Drosophila melanogaster: one gene and its partners. The main gene of each other region encodes a partner of the protein of the gene in region 4 in a complex. Each region holds a gene or a part of one and is shown on either strand. Other genes may lie near its edges.

Region 1 (7,749 bases), on a different chromosome or scaffold from region 4:
CGGGAAACGGATATGCTACTAGAACGTAACTTCCAAATACTAAGCTAACGAAAGTAAAACAACTTCGTATGGTTTTGCATTTCAAAGAGCCCCGCTCGTGTTAAATAATTTTCGTTTAGTAGTGAAGATCGTACTTTTCCCTCAGCGCAATTAGTTCGTCAAAGAACAAAAGCACCAACGTGGAATATGGAGCACTCCTCAGATAAATGGGCCAAAAGCCCTTGTACAACCCATATACACCCTCCGATCTTAGGATCGTAAGCACACAATCCAACCAGCCCCTGTAGTAAATGCCACGACCTTGGGCATCAACTCCCTGATTGTAAAGACGAGTGGTAACCACATCCAATGGAGTGATTGCCAGCGAGACAAATGACCCAGCGGCTAAGCCAGAGCAAAAGGACAGGATTGTGGGATGAGTTACCACTCCGTTTTCCTTCAACAAACTCTTGGCCTGGCCAAAAACTGCGATTTGAACGGCGGACGCAACAGTGGCACGGCTCACATTCGCCAACGATCCTCGCCAGAGTCCAAAGACGCCGTTCTTCCTGTATATCTTCCTAATCGCATCGCTCATCGAGGCGTGCTGATGCTGATAACCAACGGCGATCTGCTTGGCTGCCTGTGCCTGAAGTTGCGTCTTGATCTAGAATGGAAATGTAGCTATCAGTGATGCCTTATCTTATCACGGCTAGACATTGTCACATATTCGCGGAAGCAGACACCTTCAGTGTTTGATTTACATAATCGCTTACCAGGAAGAAGGGACTGGCACAATAGGAACCCACAACGCCGCCCAAAGCGCCCCAGAACATGCCCTTTGCGAATGAGATCTCGCCCTTGTTGTTGTGGACCCAACCCTTCTCTACGGCATGGGTGTATATGCTCAATCTAGAGCAGATAGAGAGATAGAGCACATATGTATATTTTTGGAAAACTCCTTGTAGGATAACAAACAGCTTTAACCTACCGAAACGAGTTTATTACAAACTGGAAGCATAGCGCTGGAGCCAATCCTTTTTGCAAGCCAAGAATTCCATCGTTTTTGGCCACAGTCACAAAGGCCTGGAAGACACTCTTGTAAGGCTGAGCATGAGATCCTCGGGCGGCCAGCTCTCCCTGTAGTTGAATGCGAGTTTTGATCACCTCGACGGGATTGGTGAAGACACCAGCGCCCATGGCAGCCACGCCGCCCAGCACAAAATCCGACGTAGCCATCAATGAGACGTCCGTTCTGTATCACAATCTAGTGATCACTAACGCCACACTTGCGATAAGCTAGCTGCTTAAGACTTGAGAGCAATATGCGTTAAAATGTAACAGTTAAACTGGTTTATTTCACCAAAATATTGCACGGTTAATGGCTACAGGAAGAGCTCTTAAATTAGCTTAATGAAGGCACAAGTTGGTTCTGGGGCTTTGCTAATCTAAGAGATTGGAACTAGGACATTAAGCTAACTCACTAAAGACTAAAGCCAGATTTAGACAAACAAATTGTATGCGGCGGCACTTGCATATCAAATTTGTTTATCAAAGCTTGGCTTAATAATAAAAAGCAATGTGTATATTTCCGGGTGGTAAAAACGATTTTAACAATTTTGTACTTAAATTAATGCTACCTAGCCAGTGATCTTTGGGGTCATTGATTACTATACTTTGTGCGTACGGCGACCAGCTCGTCAAAGAATAGCAGCACAAGGGTTGAGTGGGGGGCAATGCGCAAGTAGTTGGCCCAGAACCCCTTGTACATACCATAAACGCCCTCTGATCGTAGGATTTTCACAAAGCAGTCAAGCCAACCGCGATAAAGAAGACCGCGTCCTTCGGCGTCTACGCCCTGATTGTACAGACGCGTGGTGATTACATCTGGCGGCGTTATGGCCACCGACATAATGGATCCGGCTATCAAGCCAGCCGAGAAGGAGTTCAACGTGGGCTGGGTCACCAGATCGTACTGGACCAACAGGGCTTTGGTCTTACCAAAGGTGGCTATCTGGGCACCTGATCCCAAAGCCGCCCTGGGCAATGCGGCCACAGATCCTCTCCACAGTCCTCGTACTCCATTCCTGGAGTAGATCTGACGCAGGGCATCTGTCATGGAAGTATGGGCATGTTGGTAGCCAACGGCGATTTGCTTGGCGGCTTGTGATTGCAGCTGAGTTTTGATCTGGATGCAAAAGAAAGGACCATAAATAATAATATAGAAATATAGACATTGTACATAAGAGAATTGACTGTGATAATATGTTAATGTTTACAATACTTATTAAGTTATTTAGCGAATATTTTTCTGTTTCTAGATCTTGAAAATGTCTTGGTATAAATAGGCTAACAATAAATGCGTTATGTCATAAAGTAATAAGCAATGCAAACAACCATAAACAGTCAAAAAATATGGAATATTTGGAAGTATAATACTTTCTCCCTGGATATCTTGAAATGGTAGTATTTAGATACTGATGGACAATTGCCAATAAAGTCTCTTATCTGTGGAAGGTCCATAATGCTGATGAGCACGCGGCTCATTTAGATAAACTATGTATTTGTTTATGTAACCTCCCGCAGCATTCCCACAATTGGCGTACCAGGAAAAATGGACTGGAGAAGTAGCACCCCACGACGCCGCCGATGGCGCCCCACAGTAGTCCCATTCCGTAGGACACCTCACCCTTCCGGTTGTGCATCCACCGCCTCTCCATTGCCTCCGAATAAATGCTGAGCCTGGCGAATGTAAATTCAAGATGATTAATAATTATAAAATATAGCTACTAAATAATTCCCCACCGGAAGGAATTGATGATGAACTGGAAGTACAAGGCCGGTGCGAGGCCCTTTTGGAGCCCCGTAATGCCATCATTTTTGGCCACCGTAATGAAGGCATTGACAATCCCCTTGTAGGGCTCCACATAGGTACCCCGTGCCGCCAGCTCGCCCTGCAGCTGGATCCGTGTCTTGATCACCTCGATGGGATTGGTGAAGAAGGTGGCCCCCACGGAGGCCAGGCCGCCCAGAACAAAATCCGATGTAGCCATGTAATCACGAGTTCTGCTGAGGATAGTGGTTGACTAGTAACGGTTGTACCGCCTGCTGCGGAATCTCTGTGGCTCTAGGAAGCCGCACGCTGCGTGTGTGTCGTGTATTTCATAATTCTCCGCCCCGATTAGCTGGCATTACTCCTGCTCTTCTCGCCCGTTATACAAATATAATATAAATTTGGCGAGCAATATAACTTAGTAGCAGCGGAGTTGCCAGACTGTCGCCAAATTAACAATTTAACAAAAATCGTGTCATTTTGCTTAACTGTAAAGTGATAAATGTAAAATAAATAACTGCTGGATGGTAAATTTAAAATTCAGGAGAAACGGGTTTTAGAACGTTAGTAACGGTACGGCTAAGAAGTCACTTAGTGACTTATATGTTTCAGAAGATCCGGGAACACTACTTTTGCCCACATTTATTGTTAGCTAGAGTCCCGTCAAAACATTTATAAAATTGATTTTTATGTCAGCATTAATACACTTGCAAAGCCATAACTATTTTAATTTTATTGAACTGAATGAATTTCAGAGGAATATTATATATTTTAAGTGGCCACGTTAACGTCATCTTAATTTAATTCGGTCAATTGTTTGAGAGCATCGCTATTAGCGGGAAACGGACCAGGCCGGCAGCACTGGTCGCTCTCTTTCCTTTCGAGCTGTCAAAGCGCCGAAGACGTGTGTGCGTGTTATTTTCAGCTGAATTTGTTTAAAAAAGTGGAATAACATTTAACAAAACCATGACTTCGCATCCGGTTTTCATAGACCTGTCCCTGGACGAGCAGGTAGAGTGAAAGTGCCCTGTTTTAGCCATGAATTCGGGCGGCGCCTTGCCCGAATTGAGGTTATGTCTTCCTCTTGCTGCAAAACAAAACTAATATTATTCGCAATTTATTAAAAGGTGCAAGAGCTGCGCAAGTATTTCAAGAAGCTGGGAGCCGAAATCTCATCGGAGAAGTCCAATAAAGGTGTGGAGGATGATTTGCACAAGATCATCGGCGTCTGCGACGTTTGCTTTAAGGATGGTGAGCCCTCGCAGATTGATGGAATTCTAAACAGCATTGTGTCCATCATGATCACGGTGAGTAATACAGAATACAATATTAGCAACAAAAAATAACCTTCAATATTTCAGATACCCCTGGATCGCGGTGAGAACATTGTCCTGGCCTACTGCGAGAAGATGACCAAGGCTCCCAATCTTCCATTGGGCAAGGTGTGCCTTCAGTCGTTGTGGCGTCTGTTCAACAACCTGGACACCGCCTCTCCCTTACGCTACCATGTGTACTACCACCTGGTCCAGGTGGCCAAGCAGTGCGAACAGGTGCTGGAGGTCTTCTCAGGTGTGGATCAGCTCAAATCCCAGTTTGCCAACTGCCCACCTTCGTCGGAACAGATGCAGAAGCTGTACCGCCTGCTGCACGACGTGACCAAGGACACCAACCTGGAGCTGTCTTCCAAGGTTATGATTGAGCTGCTGGGCACCTACACGGCGGACAATGCTTGTGTTGCCCGTGAGGATGCCATGAAGTGCATTGTGACTGCCTTGGCCGACCCCAATACATTCCTGCTGGATCCTCTGCTGTCGCTGAAGCCTGTGCGCTTTTTGGAAGGCGACCTCATCCACGACCTGCTGTCCATCTTCGTGTCCGAGAAGCTGCCAGCGTACGTGCAGTTCTACGAGGATCACAGGGAGTTTGTCAACTCGCAAGGATTGAACCATGAGCAGAACATGAAGAAGATGCGTCTGCTGACCTTCATGCAGCTGGCCGAGAGCAGCCCGGAGATGACATTCGAAACGCTTACCAAGGAGCTGCAGATCAACGAAGACGAGGTGGAGCCCTTCGTCATCGAGGTGCTGAAAACAAAGCTGGTACGCGCACGACTAGATCAGGCCAATCAAAAGGTACACATCTCATCGACAATGCACCGAACCTTTGGAGCACCACAATGGGAGCAGCTTCGCGATTTGCTGCAGGCATGGAAGGAGAACCTCAGCACAGTGCGCGAGGGTCTAACGAGCGTCTCCTCGGCGCAACTGGATCTGGCTCGATCCCAGAAGCTGATACACTAGGCGCACCACTTCCAAAAAATTGCACTGATGATGAACAAATGCTGGCCTCGGGGCACTGGAGTGACGACCTAAATTATTTTCAAGAATGCGAGAGGGCTGGATAACTTGAATAAATTTATAAGTAAAATCGGTAGCAAACAAGTGTTTTCATAAATGCGAGGAATACTTTAATAGCTTACAATTAAGTTGTAGTGTTTTTGAAGGCATTTAACGGGTTTCATTAAAATCCTTTTTAAGAATTAAAGCTAAAAGAATAAAACATAAATATACTGATATTCTTTAAAAGCACTAAATATTGGTAACATTCAAAAGTAAATTCATTAAATTTGTAAGTTGAAACTTTTACCTTAACCATTTAAGAAGTGAAGTCCAGAATATTGCTTAATCAATGTAATAAAACTGTCTAGTATTAGGAAAGAAAACCGAAAAATAGCCTATTCGAGTATTTAAGTAGATAATCCTGTTGCTCCATTACAGCTCCTCGTGCACGTTTGTATGCTTACGATCCTTTTCCTTGGGGAATCCCCAGAAGTACGATGGAAAACCGTGCACATCTCGTTCCCTTTTTTCGAATGCCGAGTAAGAGGATATACAGTTGCCGATAAAGTGGTTCGACTGTCCGAGAATGGCCAAGTCCAGGTAAGGATCATCCTCCGGCAGCTTGTGCACACTGATGCCCATGCGACTAAGGGCCGTGTTTAGTTCACCAATCATGTGATTGGAGTCTGACGCCACGAAAACTGATTTGATTTCGTTGTCCGGCTGAGTTTGGCGCACGTTCTTAATGGTTCTCTTTAGCTGGCGGATGATCGCCTCCTTGGAGGGCATGCAGAGCTCCGGGTAGAGTGCACCACGTTCATTTTTATAGCCCAAGCACTGCGGCGAGGCAAACAGATGCTGGCTATCCTTGACGTGCTCACAGGCTCTCACCCAATCGATACCGTTGCGCAGATGAATGCCCAAAAAGGCACCCCGAGGCAACTGCTCTCGGATGAAATCCTTAGATGCTTCCCTATACCGTTGACTCCACTGCAAGTAGCGCTGCAGCTTGCAGTTCTCTAGCTGAACAGGAAAACTAGCCGGAGCTCCGGTGAACGCGAGTACGGGATATGATTCTGCAGGATATTTGGTCTGCCACTTGGCAGCCTCGTTGCTATGATGCACATCAAAATGAAGTGGCGCATAGAACTCTGACCGCACAAAGTCTATGTGAAAAGTGTCCCAAAAGGGACCAAAAGGATTGCCATCCTTGGCGTGGCAATTGGGCTTGTCTGGATCGTTCTTCTCCTGCTGAAGGCTATATCGTTCCTTGTAGCAAAATGACACTCGCTCCGATTCTGGCCAAATGTCGTCGGCCAGGTGCCACATGAAATCTGCCATGGTGATGACGCGATGGTATTCCTTCAGGGGCTCCACTTCAAAATATGTGTTGAACGGTACCTGACGGGATCGCAGTTCACCCCTACGATACTCCACCCACGGCGGCAGGATCAGGGTGCGATTAAGCGCCTTGGCGAAGGCCAATGATCCCAGGAAGTGGTCGGCCTGGTTGCCAAAGCGTCCTTTGAAAAGCGCGGTTTAGTTGTCGTTTTTCGGTTGCTTCCAAGTGAAACTTACCCATACACGGACAGTAGGTGAGGTAGCCATTGGGATCGCCCCCCAATTGGGCACATGTTGAGCTTATTAATAGTAAAATTAAGTTTACGAAGCGAAGCTTCATTTTGAGCCACTGCATTCTGCCGGCTTCGATTTTCTTTGACCAGGTGGCAACTCTGTCTCTTTGCCAGATTACAAAATGTTTGGAATGCTTTTGTTTATGATGTGATATAAATATAATTGCAAACATAAATATATATTTGAAAATTTATGAAATTATATTGTGAAATTATTTTTTAATTTTATTGTGAGACTTTCTTACTATGGGCTAAAAAGCTCAGATCTGGCAACCTATTATTTTCTAATCAGATGTTATTGCTTACATGAAACTTTAGAAATAATTTTATTTAGACTTTAGACAAAATTTACAATATATAACAATGTATAGCCTGTGAGTATTTATGCGGATAGTGTCTTTTTTGTATTTCTAAGCCCAAATGTTTCCCACAGCAAGGAGGGGCTCCGGGCTCTTAACAGTCGAACGAGACCAGCTCTCATTTGCCGGCGCAACATTTCGGAGGAGGCTCCCAAACAGGATAGTCCGTTTAAATGGAGAAAACCAATTGGCCAGCACACAGGAATCAATATATACAATCACGGCTTGCGGCAGAAGGTACCCCTAATCCTACGCAATCCCCAAATGGTCACATGGTACACTTGCGGACCCACTGTTTATGACTCCGCGCACCTAGGTCATGCCAGCACCTATGTCAAGGTAGACATCCTGCAGCGCATTCTCCGCGATTATTTTAAAATCAACCTGGTGACAGCCATGAACATCACGGATGTTGACGACAAGATCATTAAGCGGGCCCAGCTCGCTGGACTGGACTGGCAGAAGATGGCGCGAGCTTATGAAGCGGAATTTCGTCAGGACATGTTGCGTCTCAATGTTCAGGCGCCGGATGTGCGCAGTCATGTGACTACCACCATGCCTGTCATTATTCAGTTCATTCAGCAGCTGATAGACGGAAAGCAGGC
Region 2 (7,348 bases), on a different chromosome or scaffold from region 4:
CGATGTTTAATCCTAAATTTTTAAATTATTTTATTAAAATTTTAAAAGTTTTGGTATGTAGTATGTTCCCCATTGGCTTTAGCTACAAGTTGAAGCCCTTTTTTCATGGAATGGACAAGTTTTTGCAGGTCATATTCAAACGGGATCTTTTCACACTCTTCGACTATTACAGTCATAAGCTGTTGTCGTGTTTTAGGTCCCTTTTTGCCACCTTCTTCTTTAAGTAGGTCCACAAATTTTAAATGGGGTTCAGATCAGGACTCTGAGGGGGCGTATCGATCACTTTACCACAGTTATAAGGGCGCCAGGTGCGTACATTGCACTCTTTATGTTTCTGATCATGTCCTCTTAAAATATAAAATTTGGCTTGTTGTTGCTAACTAGACCAAATTTTTCTGCACCGGCCTTCAAATTTGTTTTTTAAGATTCCTAGATATTGCACGGCATTTATTGTGCTCTAAATTAAGGCTAGTTTTCCCACTCCATGGCTGGTGATACAGCCACAAACCATCAGTGACATTTTTCCAAATTTTATCGTTGGAATGATATTTTGTTTTTCTAGCGCACTCAGCGGTTTGCGCCATACTCTGCTTGGCCCGTCGTTATAAAAGAGCATAATTTTTGTTTCGTCACCAAATATGACGTCATCCCAGTACTCTTCTGGATGATCCACCTTGTTCACAGCGAATTAATGACGCTTTTCCATATTGGCATCTGATAGCAAAGGATTTTTCCTCGCAACTCTTGAAGAGTATCTATGGCGTAGGATGACTTGGCGCACAGTTTCGTGTGACACAGTTAGGTGACACTCTTGCCTGATATCCAGAGCAAGTGATCTGACCGGGGGTTCGCAATCTCTATTCGCATAATAAAGCGGTCTACACGCTTTTTAATTTTAATTTTCCGCCCACCACCACTCTTAGGTTCAAGCCTGTCCTCTTTTTCCGAGCCTTTTAAAAAATAGTAGACGGTCTTACGGGATACAGAAAACATTTATACTTATTCTGGAAAAGATTTTCCCAACTGGTGGTTATAGTTTATTAATTGGGTAACTTCAAAGTTTATCTCTTTCCAGGCATTTTATTAAATTTAATAATTCGCTTTAAGCACGTTTGATCAGCAAAATTTCACAAGCAAGATTGAGTAGTAGAATGTAACCGACATTTTGTTATTGATCCGTTATGTTAAGAATGAGCAGCGAGCAATGAAATTCACGGAAAGCGTTCCGTTATTGAGTGGGCATCATTTGTGTGGCTGTTGTTGTTGTTGTATAGTTTCTGGAAACGAAGTAAGGATGAAATAATTGAGTGAAGGTGAGGAATAGAAGAAAAGCATCGCGAAGGCGACGCTTGAGTAAATTAGTCTGCTTAGAACGACAGAAGAAACAACACGCAGGCGACTTGATGTGCTGGACAATATGGACGCTGAAGTAAATGAAAAGTCGCGCTTGGCATCTCCGACATATTCAAATTTGAATAGTATTTGATTAACTAACGCTAGCCACCGGTTTTACATCGATAAAACGATAGGCCACGCACGACCGCACCGATAGCTCCAAAAGCCATCAACCCCCACCCGCACTATCGATAGGCCCTTTTCTTGCATCCCTAAAACATACGCGCAGCGTGGCTGAATAGAAATTATTGCGGAAATTTTCCTTGCAAATCTTGGCCACCGAAAATTACCATGTCGGCTCTCAATCTGACCGTGCGCGTGCACCCGGTGGTGCTTTTCCAGGTGGTGGACGCCTTCGAGCGGCGGAACGCGGACTCGCACCGCGTCATCGGCACCCTGCTCGGCTCTGTGGACAAAGGTGTGGTGGAGGTTACCAACTGTTTCTGTGTGCCGCACAAGGAGCACGATGACCAGGTGGAGGCAGAGCTGAGCTACGCCCTGGACATGTACGACCTCAACCGCAAGGTGAACTCCAACGAGAGCGTGGTAGGCTGGTGGGCCACCGGCAACGACGTTACCAACCACAGCTCGGTGATCCACGAGTATTACGCCCGCGAATGCAACAACCCGGTTCACCTCACCGTGGACACTTCGCTGCAGGGCGGACGTATGGGTCTGCGTGCTTATGTCTGCATTCAACTAGGAGTTCCCGGCGGCAAGAGCGGCTGCATGTTCACGCCCATTCCTGTCGAGCTGACCAGCTACGAGCCGGAGACATTTGGGCTCAAGCTGCTTCAGAAGACCGTAGGCGTTTCGCCCGCTCACCGTCCCAAGACCGTTCCGCCAATGCTGGACCTGGCCCAAATCTCGGAGGCCTCCACGAAGCTGCAGTCCCTGCTGGATCTTATTCTCAAGTACGTTGACGACGTGATCGCTCACAAGGTAACCCCCGACAACGCCGTCGGACGCCAGCTGCTAGACCTTATCCACTCCGTGCCGCACATGACCCACGAGCAGTTCACTCAGATGTTCAACGCCAACGTACGCAACCTTCTGCTGGTCATCACGCTCTCCCAGCTCATCAAAACCCAGCTGCAGCTTAACGAAAAGCTCACCTTCCTGCCCACCGCCTAGAACGACGGCGTTTGTTGAAGTGGTAATATCTACTAAGGGTGGCATTGTAAACTGATTGTGTTTTTTATCAATGGGGGTCTACGTAATAAAGTGCTCTGATCGCCAAAAAAAAAAACCAAAACTTGTATCGATTACTCTGGTCAGAATGACATTCCATACTAAAGAAAATATATATGGGATTATCTTTTTTATAACTCAATTGAAGAATCAGCATGAATCCTGTGACACCTACACTAAACGACCATGTGGCGTTTGTAGGAGCATTCGAATCTACTGAAGACTCTTAAACACAACAGTATTCATCACCAGGAACAAAATAAATGCATGTGCAACTGAAAATTTAGCACCCAACTGCTAAAACAAAATGTTGTGTTTCAGTCTTTGGTGAGCTTCACTATTCTATAGGGTTTCAGGGAGTCGCATCGGTGCTGGGTTTATTGTAAGAATAGTAATATTTATATTCTTTAATATCAAACTTTGATGATCGTACCTTCGGCACACAAAAGTTATAATATCAAATTTTGTGACGAAATATGACAACACATTCTATTAAAAACTAGTTTCTTACATTTTATAACCAGCACCTCGTTGCATCATATGCGTTACTTAACTTTCAATTGTTTGGTAGCACCAGGATAAACTTGAGCTACGCCTACACTTTTCTGTGCAATCTGCATCCTTAATCTTCTAGCATTTATAGTTCATGAGATCTTGACGTTCATGCGGACAAACATGGCCAGATCGACTGCGCTGATTCTTGATCCTGGTGAAGAATAAAAGGTACTCTAAAGAGCATAAAAAAACACACTTTTCATATGAAAGAAGGACACAAAGGGGCTCCAAGATTTCCCCGTATGCCTTAATATATAAATTAATTAAAAAAAAAACTTTTCATATGAAAGTTTGTGTGGCCAATTTAAATATATTCGTAATGCATACTTTTGGGCGAAATTTAAATCTCAGAATGCGGAAGTTTTTTTTTTAAATCAATAACATTAGTTACAGTGTTACATTAGCAGATACTGGTTCCTCCCAAAAATTTATGAACTCAGTTGTAAGTTTTTATTAAGCATGTCGAATTGACATCCACTTTGTTAGCATATTTGTCGGAAATGCGACAGGACAGGTAAGTTATACATTTTAGAACAATTTAATTAACAATGATAAGTTCAGAAACGTAAAATGATTGTTTCATCATTGAAGGACTGTATCTCCTAGTCATTGAAGTATTACCACCAACATACCATACACCTTTTAACTTTAAGCGTTCTGCAGATCAAAATATGAAATAGTTCTTCATTGAAATAGTTTATTAAAAAACTAAACTATATCTTCTTTGATGTATTTATACAGAAAAATTATTCATATACCGATCATGTTTAAAAATTAATCATACAATCCAAGATGTGTATATAATATACAAATTTTCAACTTTATGCGAAATTACAATAAATAAAAATAAGGGATATAAGAAATGAAATCTTTCGCGATATATGCTCACCTCATGCAAGTTTAAGGGTATGTATATAATAATTATGTTAGTGAGTTGCGTGTGGATGGGTGTTTGTATATAGTTTTTTTTAGGTACATTGGATGCGTCGTTAGGTATTTTAAGTGGGCTGTAGCGGGTACAAAAAGTTAGAAACTAACTAATTTAAAAGCGAATTTTCGGATAGAAATAGTAGATTGTGTAGATGTGTAGAGTAGAGGTGTAAATATAAATTCAAAACAATTTCAAAATTTTAACACTTCGTTTAAAGTTAATCCTTTTTTTGGTTTTTTTTTTAAGTTTCAACACACATTACTTTGTTACAATGTTAGAGAGCTTGGCATTTAAACATGTAAAATGTATAGAGTTTGATTTATAACATGTAGAATGCGTTGTATAAAACTTTTAAATCCGAGTTAAAACATTACATAATTTCGTAGGGAAGCATATTAAAGCGATTAACACTAATCTGAAACGTTTTGGATTTGACTTTGTTCTCAACATATGTAGATATATGTATTGTATATATGTGAACGTACGAATTATCATCTCTATTTAATATCTATGTATTACTAGTACAACAACAACAATCAATGTTGCAAAAGCAACAGAGCAACAACCCCAGTTCTATTCAATAATCCACTTCCGTTTCCATGGCGAGGGCTCAGTTAGACGCAGCTGAACTTAATGCCGTCATCGCTGGAGTAGCAGTTTTGGCAATGCAGCTTGTGGTTTCGCACCCGGACATCGGTTCCATTGAGGCCATCTCCCAGCTGGACGTGGCAGACGCAACACTTGAAGCAGTTGATGTGGTAGAACAGCAGAAGCGATTCGATGATCATGGCAGCGCCGCGACCTGTGGAATTAGGTAAGGAATCTTTCAGCTTAGTTGCCGGATTAAAGGAGTCACTGAAGCGGAAGTTAACGAAAGTTAAAATTATAAGCAACAAAAATTGCAACAGAAGTGACGTAGATTATAAATAACCCCACCACTTAGATATTATATTCCGCTTCCAAGATTTTACTAATATACCTAAAATATTCGAAACTGTTGGGCAGTCTTTTTAAATTTACACCCAAACAATATATTTTAGCGCTTTGTGCACCTGCCGACAATTGCCGTGAGTGCAGCCCAGATCTGTCACAGACATGTAAGTGAGAATGGAAACTTATTGATAAAGAGTTTATAACCAATGGGAAGGAGAAAGCATTAAATGATCGACCAAACCCAACCATGAGACTAGTGAATCCAAGTGTGTTCTATTCATGATCTCTCTCTGTGACAACAAGCCTAAAAGATGTTCCCAAAAATGGACGATGTAAGAGTAAGAGGGGTATGGGGGTATTCAAAAGTAGTAGAACAACCACAACACTCACAACCAACGTAGTAGCAAAGTTTACCTAATTCGTCGCCGCAATGGGAGCACTTCTTCTTGCCACTAACGCTGAGCACCTTCTCCTGCCCCTGGCTGCTGTTGCCATTGATGCTGCTGCCATTCGTCACATTCTTCTGCTGCTGTTGCTGCTGGTAGATGTTGTTGCCATTTACCTGGCTATAGTTCCCGTTGCTATCGAAGCTGTTGGTGAATTAAAATTGCATTAAATATAAGGTATGAAAAAAGATCATCTATGTAAGATGTAGTAAAGTAGAGTTTCCCTTGTCACCTATATATTACTACTTACCGCTTTCGATCGCCGATTCCTTTGCTCTGGACCCGCTCCGTAAGAGTTTGTATGATGGAATCGGGCAGCGGTTTGCCCATCGACTTGCTGGCTGGTATAGATCGCCGATTAAGTTGCTCGATGCGTCGCTGCTCCGCCTCCTGCAGTAGCCAGTGGTTGTTATTGTAGAGTGCTCCGCCGTAGTCAGGCATGGATTTGCGCTTTTGCTGCTGAGCGGCCAGCCAAGCCGCATCGCTGGTCTGTTGGCTGTCATAACTCTTCCGCTGCTGCACCTGCACCCATCCGTCCGCGTATTTTGGTTTGGGGGTGGCACTCAAAGCGAGCAATGTGTTTCTGGACATATTGCTTAAGTTTTGGGCCGACTGGTGATGGTATGCTGGCGCTGTCGGCGCTTGAATGGGATATCCTTGACCGGGGAGCCGTGGCGGCATTGGTGCTCCAGCAATCTTTACCAGAGAGCCACCGTACGGAGCCGGTGGTTGGCGCTGCCTCGTGCTAACAGCGTAATCTGGCTCCAGGCCATGGCCATTGGCGTTCAATTGCATAGCCCTCAATGGCTTTGTGGGCGGCGTTGGCGGCAGTATCAGGCAGTTGGAGAACTCGTTTAGATCCGACATGGACTTGCGGTAGTCCGTGTCCATCTGGTGATATGCATGCAGAACCATCTGTTGCTGCTGCTGCGGCACATTGGCGTAAATCTGTTGCGGATGCGGTGGTGGCATTTGAACCTGGTGGTGTTGCGGTGGCTGGAAGGCACTGAGCATTCCGTTTCCGATTCCTAGACCGTGGTGCAGATCCTGCAGTGAGCGCCGGTTGTTCGACATCAGCATCTTGGCTCCGTGTTGCAACTCTCGTCGAGCAATATTTTCTCGAAGCACAAGATTTTCACGTTGCCGTTTCAGTTCCTCTTGCTGTGAAGGAAAAGTTTAAATTATTGACCTTTTTCTTTGCTAATCATAGTTTTCTGTGACCACATTTTTTAATGAGTTTTATGGTCCTAAAACTTGAACCTCTTCCTTACCGAGAAGTGCAGTAGCTCGCGTTCCACCCGCAACATCTCTCCCTGCTCCCGGATCTTATCCTCGATGGACTGCATCTTGGCATTGGCCGTTGCTGTGGCTTCGCTCAATGATTGCGTGGCCGCCGCTGCGGCCGTTGCTGATTCGGTCCAGGACTCGGCGGAGTTTCCTTTTACCGTCTGGAGAAGCGGCGTCTGGGCAGCCAGGAGGCTCTCATTTTGGTATATGACTTCACCCACTTGGGCGGTCGATGGTGGTGGAGGCAATGGCGGCGGTGTGGCCTCTGACTGTGTATCGTTCTCCTCAGAGGAGTTCGTGTAGTGCTCACTGCTCTGGCGAGAGTGGTTTTCAGAAACTCCAGAATCGCGGCTTTCACCTTCGATAGAATTAGACAAATTGTGTGGTTAATATTGACAGCAAAAGTCAACTATGTATATTTAGGAGCAATGGAAAAGGCTAATCCATAAAACAAAAAAAATTAACGTAAAGTTTAGTACCCGCATTTGTGTCCAGACATTATAGGTTTTTTTTTCTAAACTTTTCATACTTCGCTCAATAACTATTTATGTACTTCCATCTATGAGTATATAAAACGTACTCATTTTGCCATATAATCTCATAAAATACT
Region 3 (7,765 bases), on a different chromosome or scaffold from region 4:
CAGGGGCTTCAGACCACTGGCTTTGAAGTCCTCGTAGATTTTTTCTGCCTCCAGGAGAATTTCCAGTCCCTTATTGTACTCTTCCTTGGAGGCCAGCACAATGCTAAGCTCGTTGATTGCCCCAATGAATGGAATGATGCCCTCAGGGCACTCCTTAAACGGCGTGACTAGTTCCAGACAACGATTGAGCATCTTTTCGCCCTCTGCCTGCTCCTCTGTGTAGATGTAGATCCTGCCTAGATCCCGGCAAACGAAGGCCAACAGAGAGTGATAGCAGCGATCGTCCTGACCACCGTCCTCCTCGCTGGCCTGCACAGATACCAGTTGGTCGTCCAGCTGCTTCTTCAAGACAATTAGCACATCGCGCGCTTTATAATGGGAGCGGAATGGATCCGTGGGCGGATCATTGCGGCTCTCCTCCTCCACCAGACGGTTGGCCTTCTCGTATAGCTCCTTGAAGTCGCTTAGGATCTCCTTTGGAATGACCATGTTGGCTGAGCACCCACGGTGCAGGCAAAAGCTATCCTGAATTCGGCAAAGCCTTTTTATTTACTATATTTTTTCTCTATGAGTGTGTAGTGTGGCCGTATTGTGACTGCTTAAACTTTACCTGAGACCCAAACCATGAAAGAATATTTTATTTAAAATCTCAAACTAAATTAATTTGAACTATGTACAAGTAAGGTATTTTCAAAAAGTACATAACACAACCATAAACGCCTCTAATATAAACTTGAAGGCATAAAATGTTTATATAAACAAAACAGCTTAGTGTGACCGTTGCGCAGCAACCTCTATGTCGCAACCCTGGAATTAATTGCTGGTATTATAACGTATTCGATTACAGTCACACCGCATCGACTTTCAGATTTTTTTCGCGTCGCAAATTTTTGGAATATACCAAAATATTTACCACCATCAGCTATTAAAGACTGCTTTTGGCGCTCATCTTTCAAAGAATACTTTTCCACAAATCAGACAAGCTTCATCCGAAAGCGGGCACAATGCTGAAGGGTTACAAGACGGATGAGGACAAGAAGGTGAAGCGACTGTACCACCAACGCTATCGCACAGAGTGGGAGAAATATCCGGAGCTCTCCAGCTGGCTGGCGTCTAGTAATGACGGTTACTCGGCGCACTGCAAGATCTGCGACATCAATGTCCTCGCCAGACTAGCGTCCATCAAGCAGCACCTCGCAACGCGGAAACACCAGGAAAGTTTCAAGTACCACAACATTCTTGCCAAGGTGGGATTGGGTTTGTGCATAAGCAATAGGAATGACCCGTGTCCATTATTGATTCAAATATTTTGCGATCCAAACTAAATTTCAAACACGATTTTTGTGTGAGTTTTCGCCATACTTTTCGTTAACTATTCCATTGACTACTTCTTGTGCAATGGTTAACCAAACCAGTAGCTCCCTCTATGCGATGCACAACTTATCGCTCCAAAAAAAAAATTCTCATCTCATTACTAATTTACATAAAATTAACAACTCCGTATTTATACCTACAGAATATGATTAAGGGTGAACTTGTCAAAGATGAGCATGACCCAGACTTGGAGGCCTCCATAATTTCACCCAAAGCAAAGCCCAAAGCCAAATCAAAGACCTATCCAAGGCAAAAGCCAAGGAGCAAAATGCAGCCAAAGATCAAGAACGACACGAAGGTGGAGAGCATGGAGGAGGAGACGGAGGAGGACGAAATCGCCTCGAACGACTCAATCCTGGATGATTTACTCAGAACAGATCAGCCCTATCAAGAGCAAGAATTTGAGGTTGAGAACGAGTTCCTCGAAGTACAACAGAATGAAACAGATCTCCAGGACCAAGAGGTGGTCTACGAGGAAGAGATGATACAGCTCAAGCCGGAAGATACGGAGATTAATAACGAATACCAAGTCGACGCGATGACGGAAGACACCATTATTAGTGAATTTGACTTGTTTGGCAAGAGTTTGGCTCTGCAGCTGAACAACATGGACCTGGAGGACGCACTAATGTGCCAGGAGCGTCTGCAGGTGGTCCTAACGGAATTTCGCCTGAAGGTGCTCAAGCGCAAGAGAGAGCAAGCACGATCTTCGTAGGCTTACAATTTATATCAAGCTGTCTTATGTACATAATATAATTTCTTTAACAACTAAATAAATAACTATTCTGCCTCAATTTCGTCAATTAGCGCCCGGCACTTTCTCTTCAATACCTTGACCGCCTCCAGGAAGATGACATCGGGCTTCAGTGCGCCGACTGATTCCACGGAGAAAATGTAGTGATCTCGGATACGGGCCAAAGTCACAGCGTCGTTTAGCTGGGGATAGCGATACACATTTCGGCTGCACGTGTCGTAGCGTGCATCCTTTACATAGGCAGTTTCATTCTCGTCAATGCCAATTACTCCTGGTGAGAAACAGTTCTGTAATAGGTACGCATCCTTACCGGTCACCTCGCGGTTCAGCTTAATCATGGGCAGCAGTCGGTAGGTGGCCGTGGCCACCGGCGAGAATTTCGCGTGATCCCGTCCAAGTCCCTTAACCGCCACCAGGCGCAGATCCAACTCGTGACCCGGACGCAATTGGGCAATCAGTATGTCATCGTGAATGCAGTTCACAGCACTCTCGCTGTATATCTGCGCCTGCTTTCCTTTGGGCAGCCACTTCAGATGACCCGAGTACACTTTGTGGTTTTTGTAAATGTCATCGAAGTTGGACTGATCTTTTCCAGCATCCCGTCGCCGCGAGCACTTCACCTTCAGCTCAAATTCAAGCGTATCCTGCTCGGTCCCCGCCTCAGTGCTTTCCTCGGTGCGGTATGCGAATAGACGGGGATCAGCCCGCAACGGAAGTAGACCCATTCGATGGGCAAGTACCTCGTCCTGGATGATCGAGGTGTTGTTGTATATGTACACCTTTTCGATGGCCATGCTGGGCACATCGCTGAGCATCAGGCGACGGAAGGCATTTGCAATGGCGGGATACACGCCAATCAGATCGAACTCCAGGCCGTCTTCGTCGTTTCTAGAAGTGAACACCAATTGTTAATCGACTCGTAAGATTCTAATTTCTATTGAGATTTACCTGACGATTTTGATGTGCAGCTTTTCCTTGAAAGCCTGAACGGAAAATACATCGTCCGCCAGTCCATAGTCCTGCGGATCCTGCTTCACCCGATACTCCTCCATGTACAGAAGCGGCTCCTTGCGATTTTTGCTTGCCATTTGCCCCGGTGTTTTTATTAAATAATTTAACAAAATTGAACCGCACGTGTTGGAATCAATAAGACCGCCTTCTAATACCAAAATATACCAAACTAACTAACAAACTAACTAATATACTAAATAAATATACTTTATGTACTAAATAAATGCTGTTTCGCCGTGACTGGCTGAATAGGAAGAAGCAGCAGGACACCGGCGATATTTTTATTTCTCCAGAAGATTTACGTAAAGCCTTCAAATTTCTGAAACCGGGCGTAAGATGTCCCGCTCCCTGCAACGCTTAGTGGGCAGCTGTCGTCGCTGGGCACAACAGCCCGCAATTCGTCATTATGCCGCTCCCGCAGATTCCACTAAAGGCAAGGGTCCGATCTCTTGGAGAAGTCTGGCCGTCATTGGAGCCCTTGGAGCCGGAGGAGTGGGCTTCATGCTGTACGTGAAGAGCGAGAAGGATGAGGCGAGAATGAAGGAGCGTCAGCGGCAATTGGGAAAAGCAGCCATCGGCGGCAGTTGGGAATTAGTTGATTCGCAGGGAGCTGTTCGCAAATCGGAGGACTTCTTAGGCAAGTGGCTGCTCATCTATTTTGGCTTCACCCACTGCCCGGATATTTGTCCCGATGAGCTAGAGAAGATGGCCGCCGTCGTCGATGAAGTTGGTAAGTAGAGCCTGACTATTTCTTCCAAACCCAAAAAAAACCATGTTTCTCAAACCTTCACAGAAAAGTCCCCGCAAACGCCAGCAGTGCAGCCCATCTTTATCACCGTTGACCCAGAACGTGACTCCAAAGAGGTGGTGGCCAAATACGTAAAAGAGTTCTCCCCCAAACTGCTGGGACTCACGGGAACCGTCGAACAAATCCGCAAAGTGTGCAAGGCCTTCAGGGTTTATTTCAGCGCTGGACCGCGGGACGAGGACAACGATTATATTGTGGATCACACCATCATCATGTACCTGGTCAATCCCGATGGCGAGTTTGTCGATTACTACGGCCAAAATCGGGACAAGGACCAGTGTGTGGCATCCATTTTGGTGAACATAGCCAAGTGGAATTCAATGAACAAAAAGGGATGGTTCAGCTAGGCTGGCTAAGCTAGGCAAATGTTGTTTCGTTGTATTTACTTAATGTATGGCATAAAATATGGTTTTTACTTGATGTATATCAAGTTTTAAATCCAAATTTTCGTTTATATTGGCTATACCTTAAGTTCTAGATTGTAAAAATTTCTGGTTGTTCAAAATAAACTTGATTAACGGTATTTTTTAGATCCCCCTGGTATATCGAAGTGAGATTTTGACTAGGCCACGGTCACACTGCTCTTTTGGCGTGTAGTGCTGCGTGGATGTTGTTGCAAAAATATTCGTTTTCTCGCAACAAATAACAATATAATACAAAATGGTGCGTGCCTGGTCAATGACTACACAGTTTGCATTATTCCGGATGGGTTTCTTTAGAATTTACCCGAAATTACAACTATTTGCAAAGTGTGAAAGTCGTGTGAAATTCCGGACCAAACATAACCTTAAAAGCGGCCTAAATTGTTGCTAAAAATTCGTATTATTCTGTCTTTTATAGCGTCCGTTGATGCTTCAGGGCCACGAGCGTTCCATAACGCAAATCAAGTACAACCGCGAGGGCGACCTGCTCTTCTCCTGCTCCAAGGATCAGAAGCCCAATGTGTGGTACTCGCTGAACGGAGAACGTTTGGGCACCTACGATGGTCACCAGGGTGCGGTCTGGTGCCTGGATGTGGACTGGGAGAGCCGTAAGCTCATCACCGGCGCCGGTGATATGACCGCTAAGATCTGGGACGTCGAGTACGGCACCGTTATCGCCTCCATTCCGACCAAGTCATCGGTGCGCACCAGCAACTTCAGCTTCTCGGGCAACCAGGCAGCCTACTCAACGGACAAAGCGATGGGACAGAGCTGTGAACTGTTCCTCATCGATGTCCGCAACGCCGATTCCTCGTTGTCGGAGCAGGAGCCCACACTCCGCATCCCGATGACCGAGTCCAAAATTACGTCGATGTTGTGGGGTCCTCTGGATGAGACCATCATCACAGGTTGGTGTTTACCCGATAATCTATTATGAAAACCGTTTAAAACCCGTATTTCCAGGTCACGATAATGGCAACATTGCCATCTGGGACATCCGTAAGGGTCAAAAGGTGGTTGACTCTGGCACGGATCACAGCGCTGGCATCAACGACATGCAGTTGAGCAAGGATGGCACCATGTTTGTGACCGCCTCCAAGGACACCACCGCCAAATTGTTCGATTCGGAGTCCCTGATGTGCCTCAAGACCTACAAAACGGAGCGTCCAGTAAACTCGGCGGCCATCAGCCCAATCATGGATCATGTCGTGCTGGGCGGCGGTCAAGATGCCATGGAGGTGACCACTACGTCTACGAAGGCTGGCAAGTTTGACTCGCGCTTCTTCCACCTGATATACGAGGAGGAGTTCGCCCGACTCAAGGGCCATTTCGGACCCATCAACAGTTTGGCCTTCCATCCGGACGGCAAGAGTTACGCCTCGGGCGGAGAAGATGGTTTCGTGCGTGTCCAGACATTCGATAGTACATACTTTGAGAACATCTTCGAGTAGTTTGTATCCAGTAGTGATTTAGTAGGATCAGAGCCGGTGGACTTAACATAACCATTTCACCGGCGACATGTTCGTTTGCTTAGGGAACTTTCAAATATACGCGAGGACGAAACGAAACGGATCGCGTCGTTTATTTTTATAACATCAAAGGAGTGGAAAGAGGTACAACATGATTATATTCGAGTAAATGGTGTGCCATGTGTAACCTAAAAAAAGGAACGCTTTTTTTGCTTGAGAACCACAGGCTGACCCTGCATGGCCGCCCACTGAGCCGGTGTGGGCAGGCAGCCCGGCGGAGGAGGCGGAATGACGACATTTCCGTTGGAATTTGTCCTCACCTCGGCCCGTGAGTCCAAGTGGAGGACCTGTGCTGCAGCTGCTCCTGCCGACGTACTGGGACCAGCAAGTCCGAAGCCACTGCCATGTGTCATACCGTAGTTGGGCTGCCCGCTGAAGGGCATCTGCTGTTGCTGGTGGCTGATCATGCCGTAATACTGATTCTGGCTGGGCGGAGCACCTCCTCCTTGTGGATAGCCATAGGCACCAGCACCGGTGCCGCCGTTTCGCTGGCTTTCTTCATACGTTGGCGGAGGAGCTCGCTAGAAGTCGCAAAACTTTAGATGGCGACTGGTATTTGATAATCAAATTAACTTATTACCATGGCCATGTCATCGCCGGAATGGCGATAGTCGTAAGCGGGAGCACTTCCCTCGCTTGGTGGACCTGCTTTTGATGGCTTCGACATCTTATCTCGTCTGTAATTTGAAGTTGCACTTTGTTTACTTGCAGTTTCTCTGAGTCACAAACAGGGTTGTCAGCTCATCGAGATTAGTGATGTCGTAAAGTTTTCCCGTCAGATCTGGATTTATTCGAAATTTATTTTCTGCACGCGAATTGCTATTTTATTTCTTTGGCGTTTTAAAATAAATAAAAAATGGGAATAATATGTCCCTCACAATTTATTAGTAAATTTTTGAGTTGTGCTATTAGGACGCCAGTTATTGAAACACACGCTTTTACAAATAATTCAAAATCAGATTTAAAGATGTTCTATGGTAAAATATACATGTTTGGGTCACCTTTTTCGAAATTCAAAGTGAAGTCTACAAAAAAATATGTATTGAGTTACTTTTTGTAAATCGATGTTGTCAAGTTCCAAAAATAATTAATTTTTGAATTTCTACCAAAGTATTTGATATGGATGTCTAGAAAGGAAGCCCACTGCTGGTTCCTGGCTTTTTCGTGGCGATCCTCACCGACATGGGCGACTCGCAACTGGGCTGCTTATATTGCCGCCTTTTTATCAGGTCTCTTTGAATGGAGCTTCCCAGGCTGCGAATGGGCACCGCTGTAATCCCATCGATCAGATTCTCCCGGGCGTGCTGGAGCGTGCTATCGATCAGCTGCTCCACGGCTATGGCTCGAGGATCCACCATCGGTTCACGCTCCAGCACGTCCACAATCATGCGCAGGGTCTCGTCCGCCTGGAACTCCTCCAGCGGCAGCACCTCAATCAGCTCTTTGAACATGTGAGCGACGATGAAGTGGGTGCGGTTCACAACCTCGGAGTCGCCCATATGGACATGAGCGCACAGCGAGTCCTTGGCGTGATCGAAAATTCCGGATATCAGCTCCTCGGTGTTCACATCAGAGCGTTCGTAGTCGAACACAGCCACCACCTCGTTGAATAGCTTGCGAAGCTCCTCGTTGCTGATGTGGATGAAGTACTTCTTCGGCACAAACGTCTGCAGATGCTCCGTTATGCACTCGGCTATGCGATCCGTGTACCGACCCTAAAATATAACCTTTGGTAAGATTGAGTAAACTAATTGCTTTTAGATCTAATCACCTGGAAACTGTAGGCGGCCTGGCACAAATAAAGCGAGGAGCGCTGGGCAAACTTGCGCACATTCTCCGGAGTGGTGCTCTTCCCAAAGAAGCGATT
Region 4 (9,069 bases):
AGCAGTAGCTCCTCCTAGGCAAACAGCACACTGGCATTTTCTTAGCGGAGTGGGGGAAAACAACCCTTGCGAGGTCATTCGGAGTTCGTGGGCACTTTAAGCTGACTTTGAGTCTTGGGTGGAGTGGTACAAATCAACCTGATAAGCTCGAAAGGAAACCGAGGAAACACGCATGACAATCTTCTGGTAAATAACACAGGAACATATGTACATACATATATAGCCAGTTTGAACTACTTTTTGCTACATAATTGCCCAATGGTGATTAGAAAGAAAACGAAATACATAGAATTTGGCTAATGTTCTAAATGAAACAAATATGACGAGGTCTGAAAGGCCATTTCCGTCCATCTGGGGGAAACTCGAAGTGCGAATGATGCTATTTTCGAGGCAATAAGAACCGAAATAAATTATGGAAATCGACCAAAGTCTGGGAGGATATATGTCGGCTGTCTGCTTTCGACGCTTCAAGGCAAATTAATTGCGCGGCATTGTTTATTTTTAGTCATAAAAATGTTTGCATATCATCGATAGATTGTTTATTTTTCAAGATATGTGGAAATTTGTGGGGAAAAGCGCTTAAGTCTGTTGACATATGGAAGGATAATGATAAAATCACCTGTTTCACACAGCATCATCAATCAGCAGATGCTTCTTATTTGCCGCATGCGCATTTGAAAAGCCGGAAAAGAAGGCAAGCACAACTGGGGATGCAACCGGCAAAATTTTCGAATTGCTCCCCCGGGAAGCTTCATAAAAGTCCGGAAATCAAGAATCTAAAACCCCAATGCCTTTGCTCAAAACGAACGAGTAAAAACGGGCGTTGTTAAGCGGCATTTTTGTTTTGCCACCGCTATTCGTAAGCAACCGTTTGATCGCTCTCCCGTTCTCACCAAAACTCTCGCGATCGCTAAGAGCGAGTTAAAAAGCGAACAACGGGCCAAAGGAAAATGGAAGAGCGAGTCTTCAGCTTTGGGGAACACGCCCAAAAAGTTGGCTTACAAACAATCGACGTTTTATGTCACATATTGCTGGGAAAATCGAGCCGAAAGGATCTGAATTCCTGGGTTAGTCAATGGGTATCACTGGTTTTTACCTGCTTGCACCGATTTAATGCCATTATTGACCAGCAATAGGAGGCATAACAATCCAAACTGAAGCGAGGAAAATGCTGCTTTCGTATTGCTCCTGGGCGGCCTCATCTTGGAGGCTGTTAATTAAACACTATCGCTTGGTAGATTTATAAACACATCTATATTCGATTTCCGAAGAAGTTTAACACCAAAATGCACTTTTCCGCTGGAAAAACCACCGTGAAAAGCTGATGATTTGTGGCAACGCGTCCGCGGTGTTAAAAACGTTGGACTGCACTTTACGCTCCGCTTTAAATCGATTTTGAATTTATGTAATTTATCCACTGGGTGTACGGCTCCAGCAGATCACGCCCACTTCGGAAGAGTTTCGTTTGAATTAAGAAAATAATTATCGCAACGCGGATGACACACGAACAGAATGTCTCGCTGCCAGTGTGACCGTGACTCAAACGTGGCAAGATACCGAGGGAGTCACCAACTGGGTGCTTGTCGCGTGAGCTAAGCTATCGTGTGATTAAGTATATGAAGTATTTACAAATTATTTCAACTGCTACTATGAAATTAAATTTGGTCACTAATAATAGCTTTCCGTTAACATTTATATTAATTCGTGATAGAAATTTTTTTGCATAGTTTTAAAGCCATGTAATATCATTGCAAAATGAATGATATAAGCAAAGTATACAAATGTAATGGCAAATAAGTCAAATCCCCTCTAAAATATTTTTTAAAAATCTAGTTTTCTTATCTATCCAGAAATTTGAAATAAAATACATATTTTACAAAAAATTATTTCGAATACCAAATCGATAGGGGCGTAAAACATCGATAGTCGTAGTAGTATCATTATCGATAGTTGGTCACACTGTTTATCCCTCTTTTCGCCAAAAATTTGTTGGCGTGTTGTCAATTTCCTAAGCATTTGATCGGTTTTTTCGTTTTGTGTGTAACCCGGAGAGGATAAAACAGCGACAATGTACGGTGGAGACGAATACGCAACCAACTCGGTGAGTGCAGCCAGCGAGGAATGATTCATTCTCGGGAAACCAATCCCCGGACTCCGCCGACAACATAACCCATCTTTTGTTGCCCTCGCACAAATACAAAACTCACTGGGATGATTTTAAAGCCGTTTTACGACTTGGCATAGTTGGTGTTTAGATCATCATAGGTCATTAAGCACTGATAATCCGTGGGCCACTCCTTTGACACGTTCCTTTGCTATTTGGAAACGAATCCTGTAGTCCGGGGGACACCCCGGCGCCATGTGGTATATTATTGGTATCGGTGTACATTATTAATAAGTCATAATACCTTCTACATTTTTGATTTGCGTGCAATTTTAGATGGTGTGTACACACCTTTAAAGAACACATGAATATATTCTAGCTTACTCCTTAGAGATGCCGTGGAAAGAAGTACCCCTCTAAGGTTCATCCACTTCGTAATCGTAGGAATGCGCTCGTTTTGTTAGCTACAGCTCGCTTAGCTAAATGGTCGGGATTAAACTCGGAACAGTTGTAGCATAGTCTCTCGAATTCCTATTTACAAAGTCGAAAGTCTTCAATAGTCTAGGCAAGCTGTTAATTTATAAAATCGATCCACTTTAAGCGATTAACTCTATTTAATAGCTCATTTATGCAGAGAGTCGTAGATCAGTATTTCCTGCAATTCTGCTTCCAAAAAGTCATTGGGTTTTTTACATATTACAGGATTACTACGATGACTACGCTCATACCGGAGACCCGCAACTGGACATGGAGTACGAGAGGAACTACTACGCCGCCCGGATGCCGGACAACGTCAAGTACTTCCTCATAAACTTCTGCCAGGCGATCAAAGAGGGCAACTTGTACGACATCCAAAACATGTACGAGAACACGTTCCCGCAGATCAGCGACCACCACTTCGACAAGACTGCTTGGCCCGAGGAGCAGGAGGTGGCTGCTATTGTAGACAACGACAAGGTCTTCCTGATCTTATACAAGGAGTTGTACTATCGCCACATCCACGCCCGCATCCCCGGTGGTCCCAAGTTGGAGCAGAGGATCAACTCGTTCTTCAACTACTGCGACTTCTTCAACCTGATCATCTCGGCCCAGAACCCAGTGATGCTGGAGCTGCCCGACATCTGGCTGTGGGAGTTGGTGGATGAGTTCGTGTATCAGTTCCAGAACTTCGCGCAGTATCGGTATGTAGCTGTTTCCGCAGCCTGTGGAACTCGATTAACCTTCCATTTTTGCAGCGCCCGCCTTACGGAGAAATCGCAGGATGAGATCCAGCAGCTGTGCGTGAACCACAGCAACGAGTGGAGCATTCTCTGCATCCTCAACGTTCTGCATTCCCTTGTGGACATCTCGAACATCAAGAAGCAGCTGGAGGCCATCTCTCAAGGTGTTGATCCCCAAACCGTGGCCGGTGACTTCGGCAAACTGTCCTTCTACAAGATGCTGGGATACTTCTCCCTTGTCGGACTGCTGCGCGTTCATTCGCTGCTGGGTGACTACTACCAGGCCATCAAGGTGCTGGAGCCCATTGAGATCCACAAGAAGTCCGCCTATTCGCACATCCCCGCCTGCCAAATCTCGACGTCGTACTACGTGGGCTTCGCCTACATGATGATGCGCCGCTACGCTGATGCCATCCGCACCTTTTCTGATATCCTCCTGTACATTCAGCGTACCAAGCAGCTGTACAGCACGCGTTCATACCAAAACGATCAAATCAACAAGCAGGCCGAGCAGATGTACCATCTTTTGGCCATCTGCCTGGTACTCCATCCCCAGTGCATCGACGAGTCCATCCAGCAGGTGCTCAGGGAAAAGAACTACCACGACGCCATGTTTAAGATGCAGTGCGGTGATCTGGAGGTCTTCAAGTCCTTCTTTGTCTTCGCCTGCCCACGTTTCGTGAGCCCCTGCCCGCCAGCTGTAGACGCACCCATGGACGACTACGTCAAGGACCCCATGGAACACCAGTTGCAGGTTTTCATGGATGAGGTGCGCCAACAGAAGGATCTGCCCACAACGCGCTCGTATCTAAAGCTGTACACCACCCTGCCGCTGACCAAACTGGCATCTTTCATCGATCCCAACGCCAGCGAGGATGACGTGTCGAAGCTGCTGATTCGCCTGCTTTGCTTCAAGCACAAAATGCGCAACCTAGTGTGGAGCAAGGGACCCAGCGGCCTGGAAGGCACATTCAAGTCTGGCTCCGAGGTGAGATTAATATAGACAAATTCTGATGGCAAATATAATAATATACATTAATATTCTAGTTGGACTTCTACATCGACGACGACATGATCCACATAGCCGACACCAAGGTTTCACATCGGTATGGCGACTTCTTTGTGCGTAAAATTCTTAAGTTCAACGATCTGAATCGCAAATTGAAGAACATCAACATTTAAGCCGACTCCTTGTGACCCTTAATGATAAATTTAATATTCCATACTGGACCGATTTGTTTCGATATCAATAAAAATCGCTTGCGATCTTGCGCAAGTTTGGTCCTCAAAATGTGTCTTGAGTATTTAAATAATTTAAAATAATTATCTAATTTTTAATAAGAATCCAAGTTGTTTTAACACTTGCTTTATTTTTAACAATACCGTTATTTTATAAAAATTGTTTGTATGACTATAAGGAAATTCAAGACTACACAGTACGATTTTTGAGTTCGCCACAACTCCACTTGTGCTCGGCATGTGCCTTCAGCAACGCAACCAAGATTCGTTTTCGGTTATGGGGGAATGTGCGTTGAATTAATACGTAGTATATAATAATAACATCTCATATCAAATTTCTCTCCTGTTCGTCGCATAGCGAACACGAGCAAATTTCTTTGGTAAATCAATCGTATTAAGCGCTTGTTGGGGGTAAATAATTGTGATTTTCGGGGGGGTTGGACAGTTGGCGTGGAGTTGGGGCTACAAGCAGTTCCACACACATACACACAGTTTAAAATTCAACTTAGGATTACAGTACACTTTATACACGACATTGCCTTCTGTTCTCTAGTTTCTGTTGCGTTTTTGTGTGCTCTCTCTTTAGCTAACCATTGGTTCACTTAGGACTAACATTAAAATCAAACAATTTACAATTACGGACTTGTTGGTGGCCGGGCCAGTTGTTAGTCCACGGACACTGTGCGCTGATTGACGTCGATCAAGTAGATGTCCTTGTGATTCTGCAGCACAAAGTCGACGAAAGCATTGATGGGAGCGATCTCCTCCAGGGAGGTACTGGTGCTGCGCGACCACAGGAAATTCGGACCGAACACGATGGCCAGGTTGGAGGAGGTCATCTTGTTCAGATCCTCGCAGTCCATCACCCTGACCAGGAACTCAACAATGTACTTGAACAGTTCATAGTTCTCCTCTGGCAGTTTTTCGCGTATCAGTTGCGTCACGTTCCTCGAACGCTCTTCCTTGGGCCAGTCTAGAAAACCGGTCACATCCTCGTACAGCTCGAAGGTGAGCAGCGGCTCGGCGAGATCGCGCAGGAAACTCTTCAGCAGGCCGGCTATCACGTGGACATTAACGCTCTTCAGATCCACATCCTCGCCGCGGTTGACGCGCTCCTTGAGCGCCATGATCTCCGAGTGATTGCCCGATCGACGGAATATGCCCTCCGTATCGATCACGCCCGTTATGGACAGCGAGTCCACGCACTTGCGCACAATTGGCGGAATGGAGTTTAAGCACGGACTGTTCATCACAATGAATTTCAGGGGCACACCAAATTGATGCGTCGTCGCCATTTTGTGCTGCTGCTGCCGGGATGCATTTATATTGCTGCTGGGCGGCGGTGTCGATGGCTTCCGGCTGGGGTTCAGTTTGTCGTCCAGGTCGCAGATGTTGTCCGGCAACTTCAGCTTGTTCAGGCCGAGCGCCTGGCGCAACTCGTCCAAGCTGGAGATGTAGACTAGCTTCTTGCGGAACTTGTCGCTAATGAACGGGCTAAAGAAGTTCCAAATGACCCGTATGAACCACGTCGGATGAACCACATACAACGTCTTCAGATTCTTGCGGAAGTTGCGATCGAGCTCCTTGTACGAATTCCACAGGAACTGTGCGGATGGTTTGTTGTCCTCCTTGAGGCCTTGATGGAAGTAAACCAAAATGTAGTCGTTCTCCACAAAAGGTTCGATCTCCTTGATGATTTCCCTGATAGACAAATGGAAATAGATTAATGATTGAACAAAAAATGTACTCGAATATGAATCCTACCGCACAAATCCTTCCAGTTGGGATTTTTCGGGAAAGCGGGATGCATAAATGCCAAAGATGTGGCGACCCTGCTTATCGGTTCCCAGGAAATCGCATTTGTTTCTGGGAGTCTGAAAGTTTTCAGACTGCTCCCTGAGTTGGTCCTCGAAGTCGTCCTCCAGCGGATTTACATCTTCCTCGGGCTCAAGTTCTGGATCTAGGCGTAATGCGAAACGTTATTCATTGGCCAGGAGAAGTAGATTCCGCCACTTACCTTCGGCCAGAACGAAATCACCGACCATAACATCTTCTGGGAAAAATCGAAGAATTAGTTTGACTATGATTTTGTAGATTCTTTAAATATTCAATTTACTTTCAAGCGGAGATGGGGCCAGCAGCTCGGTATCATCAAACTCTAGCTTCGGCTCGAAGTCGTGCAGATCGGAGAGACTGGGTTGGGGCTCATCCGAGTTATCGACGATCGGATTGATGGCGGGACCTTGGGGTGCGAGAGGAAGGCATTTATAAATCTCGTAGGTTTCCCTGGCGCGGACTTGTATTCCAAAAACGTAATCTTACAAGTAATGCTTTCAGTTAAGTATTTTGACGGCCTGAGGCAACAAGTTTAGTTCGGATTGAGTTTGAGTAAGTGAATAGACATGAATCAGAGAAATTTCATTTGTTAAGTACATTGGCATCTGATTGTATAATCAACAGTCTTACGGTTTCGATATAATTGGCAGACGATTACTGAACAGAACAGAACAGAGACGATTAGGAAACTCTAAGCTAGGGCGATTAGACTATAGACTATGAAGTAAGGCTATAAGGGCTAGGGCAAACACATACGATCACAAAACACATCGGGTAACCAAACATTGGCAACAACACAGCTAGCGAAAAGTAGTTAACAAATAGGATCCACAACAAACCAAGCAAACAAACCACATTGGATAGTTTTAAAATGCAAGTTATGTATGTACAGGAGGAGACGGTAAGCTGCCCACATAGGCTGGATAATGCAGTTTGAAATGGGGTTAGTAGCGCAACTTGATACCAAAAACAAAGAACTTGGTTAGGGGGCGGCGGTTGGGGGTTAGTCAAGGCGGGGCGGGGCGGGGCACAAAATTAGTCGTAATTACTGGCTTTAACTGTTAGTTCTCAAACGAGGGCACTTCCCCCCTCAAAGAAACTACGATACGGCAATGAAAACAACGAAATAAAGCAGCGCAAAGAAATGACTCCCAAAACTTGAAACACAGATTGGAGGTGAGGTATTGTAGAAAACCTGGCCTCATATTTTTAGGCCCGTTTTTATAATCTTCATGGTGGGCTCAAAGTTAAAAGAGAATGATGGGAAAATGGGTTTCCATATGGTGTACCCACAATTAGTTACTTTATATTTAGGCAATCAAACAGATAATTCTTTTACAATTACGTCTTTCATTAGATTAGGTAGTTAGTATTAACGAAGTTCTTTATTTTGGGAACTATTTCTGAACGCTCAAATAAGGCAAATCACTGGACAATGGCAATGCTAAGCAGTTACAGAACCAAAGATCAAAACTAGATATATATTCGAATCGAAAAGCATGACTTGGCCGTTCGGCCGGCGGACTTACCTGGTAATCTCGGCGCGAAACGCGAATGGGCGTCCATGGCGGTGGAGATGGGAGTGGATGCGGATTCAGGTGCTATCCGTTCGATGTGATTGGATTACTCGCGGTGACGCAGGACGTGGCTCAGTCAGTCGTTGGGCTCGATTATTGGCATGTAGAATGTATGCGGCTGAAATGTGAGAATAAATTAGCCAAAAGCAGCAGTTGCCAGTACTCTATCGATGACGTCATTAGCAAGCTATGTAGTTTTCTTGGCTGTTTGGGTTGCTTGTTCGATGGTTATTTCTTGGTATTGGATATAGTACAGGTTGTATGGCACGGCTGATTCACATTCATTTACATCAATGATTTTGCTCGAAGTCTTAGTGCTAAGTTGGCCCTGAAAGACGCCCACCGCCTCCATTTCTAATGTTCAAACATGCATACATACAGTGGGGACATTTAAAGTGGCCATGACTGCGGTCTCAAGACAAGTGAATTGTTTTTCGAAGAGATAACACAAAAACACAGAGGCTGCTTATCGCAATTTCGACAAAAAGCTTCACAAAAGCACATAGAAAGGCACAATTTTAAGTGAAACGTAGTTTGCTTCCTTCGTTTCTGCCAAAAATGGTTATATATTGTCGCGATAATTTCTTGTGATAACTTGAGTATATAAAAGAACGGAAGTTCTTTTTTTTTGAGCGTCCTAACTAGGGAGGGTGCACTGTACATACAGCTTGTATGACTTTATTTTAAATACGTGATTGGATTGTAAATGGGAAATAAATTAATAATTTTCAAGCGTAAACTGAGATTAGTACACATCCTTTTTGACACCACTGTTTCAAAAGGTGACAAATCCTTTAGGCCGCCACTGTAAATGGGAGTAGGCTCCTTTGTCCCTCCACTGTTTGCACATACACACACGCAGAAGTTGAGTAAAAATTTCACAAGTTTCTTGTCGAAAAACGCAATTTCTGTGCAACAACAACCGATTAATTGCAAGTAAACTGCGCATTTGTGTCTAGCCTTTTTAAATGATATTTACTTTTTTGTTATACTAAGTTACGAATTTCTATAAGTCACAAGAAATCATCACATTTTATACGAATGATGAATTTGTCTTAATCACGCTTTCGTTTCTCATTTCAGTTAAGTTTTT

The links.
Region 1: eIF3l (region 4) and eIF3m share a complex: the UniProt entries of both Drosophila melanogaster proteins name them as parts of the eukaryotic translation initiation factor 3 (eIF-3) complex.
Region 2: eIF3l (region 4) and eIF3f1 share a complex: the UniProt entries of both Drosophila melanogaster proteins name them as parts of the eukaryotic translation initiation factor 3 (eIF-3) complex.
Region 3: eIF3l (region 4) and eIF3i share a complex: the UniProt entries of both Drosophila melanogaster proteins name them as parts of the eukaryotic translation initiation factor 3 (eIF-3) complex.

What each region holds. Positions count from the first base shown.
Region 1 is NT_033778.4:14,160,561-14,168,309, reverse strand, and holds eIF3m (eukaryotic translation initiation factor 3 subunit m), read left to right. Parts: upstream 1-3,484; 5' UTR 3,485-3,778; coding exon 3,779-3,823; intron 3,824-3,939; coding exon 3,940-4,119; intron 4,120-4,173; coding exon 4,174-5,112; 3' UTR 5,113-5,244; downstream 5,245-7,749. Other genes in the region: CG18327 (uncharacterized protein), read right to left, coding at 116-646, 756-891, 971-1,218; CG8323 (uncharacterized protein), read right to left, coding at 1,640-2,167, 2,586-2,721, 2,785-3,032; O-fut1 (O-fucosyltransferase 1), read right to left, coding at 5,584-6,674, 6,730-6,847; CysRS-m (Cysteinyl-tRNA synthetase, mitochondrial), read left to right, coding at 7,149-7,159, 7,219-7,749. UniProt on the Drosophila melanogaster protein: Component of the eukaryotic translation initiation factor 3 (eIF-3) complex, which is involved in protein synthesis of a specialized repertoire of mRNAs and, together with other initiation factors, stimulates binding of mRNA and methionyl-tRNAi to the 40S ribosome.
Region 2 is NT_033777.3:4,708,424-4,715,771, reverse strand, and holds eIF3f1 (eukaryotic translation initiation factor 3 subunit f1), read left to right. Parts: upstream 1-1,589; 5' UTR 1,590-1,686; coding exon 1,687-2,529; 3' UTR 2,530-2,890; downstream 2,891-7,348. Other genes in the region: smash (smallish), read right to left, coding at 4,687-4,874, 5,396-5,595, 5,702-6,612, 6,723-7,096. UniProt on the Drosophila melanogaster protein: Component of the eukaryotic translation initiation factor 3 (eIF-3) complex, which is involved in protein synthesis of a specialized repertoire of mRNAs and, together with other initiation factors, stimulates binding of mRNA and methionyl-tRNAi to the 40S ribosome.
Region 3 is NT_033779.5:4,964,536-4,972,300, reverse strand, and holds eIF3i (eukaryotic translation initiation factor 3 subunit i), read left to right. Parts: upstream 1-4,525; 5' UTR 4,526-4,607; coding exon 4,608-4,610; intron 4,611-4,787; coding exon 4,788-5,277; intron 5,278-5,332; coding exon 5,333-5,820; 3' UTR 5,821-5,934; downstream 5,935-7,765. Other genes in the region: CG14043 (uncharacterized protein), read right to left, coding at 1-489; l(2)05714 (lethal (2) 05714), read left to right, coding at 1,005-1,247, 1,517-2,089; Polr1C (RNA polymerase I and III subunit C), read right to left, coding at 2,155-3,016, 3,077-3,216; Scox (synthesis of cytochrome c oxidase), read left to right, coding at 3,476-3,869, 3,933-4,294; CG34125 (uncharacterized protein), read right to left, coding at 6,027-6,419, 6,479-6,565; CG34124 (uncharacterized protein), read right to left, coding at 7,026-7,613, 7,670-7,765. UniProt on the Drosophila melanogaster protein: Component of the eukaryotic translation initiation factor 3 (eIF-3) complex, which is involved in protein synthesis of a specialized repertoire of mRNAs and, together with other initiation factors, stimulates binding of mRNA and methionyl-tRNAi to the 40S ribosome.
Region 4 is NT_037436.4:12,138,988-12,148,056, reverse strand, and holds eIF3l (eukaryotic translation initiation factor 3 subunit l), read left to right. Parts: upstream 1-1,959; 5' UTR 1,960-2,068; coding exon 2,069-2,101; intron 2,102-2,806; coding exon 2,807-3,285; intron 3,286-3,339; coding exon 3,340-4,312; intron 4,313-4,371; coding exon 4,372-4,506; 3' UTR 4,507-4,611; downstream 4,612-9,069. Other genes in the region: Nrx-IV (neurexin IV), read right to left, coding at 1,097-1,202; RhoGAP68F (Rho GTPase activating protein at 68F), read right to left, coding at 5,229-6,264, 6,328-6,523, 6,581-6,616, 6,680-6,805, 7,030-7,056, 7,929-7,965. UniProt on the Drosophila melanogaster protein: Component of the eukaryotic translation initiation factor 3 (eIF-3) complex, which is involved in protein synthesis of a specialized repertoire of mRNAs and, together with other initiation factors, stimulates binding of mRNA and methionyl-tRNAi to the 40S ribosome.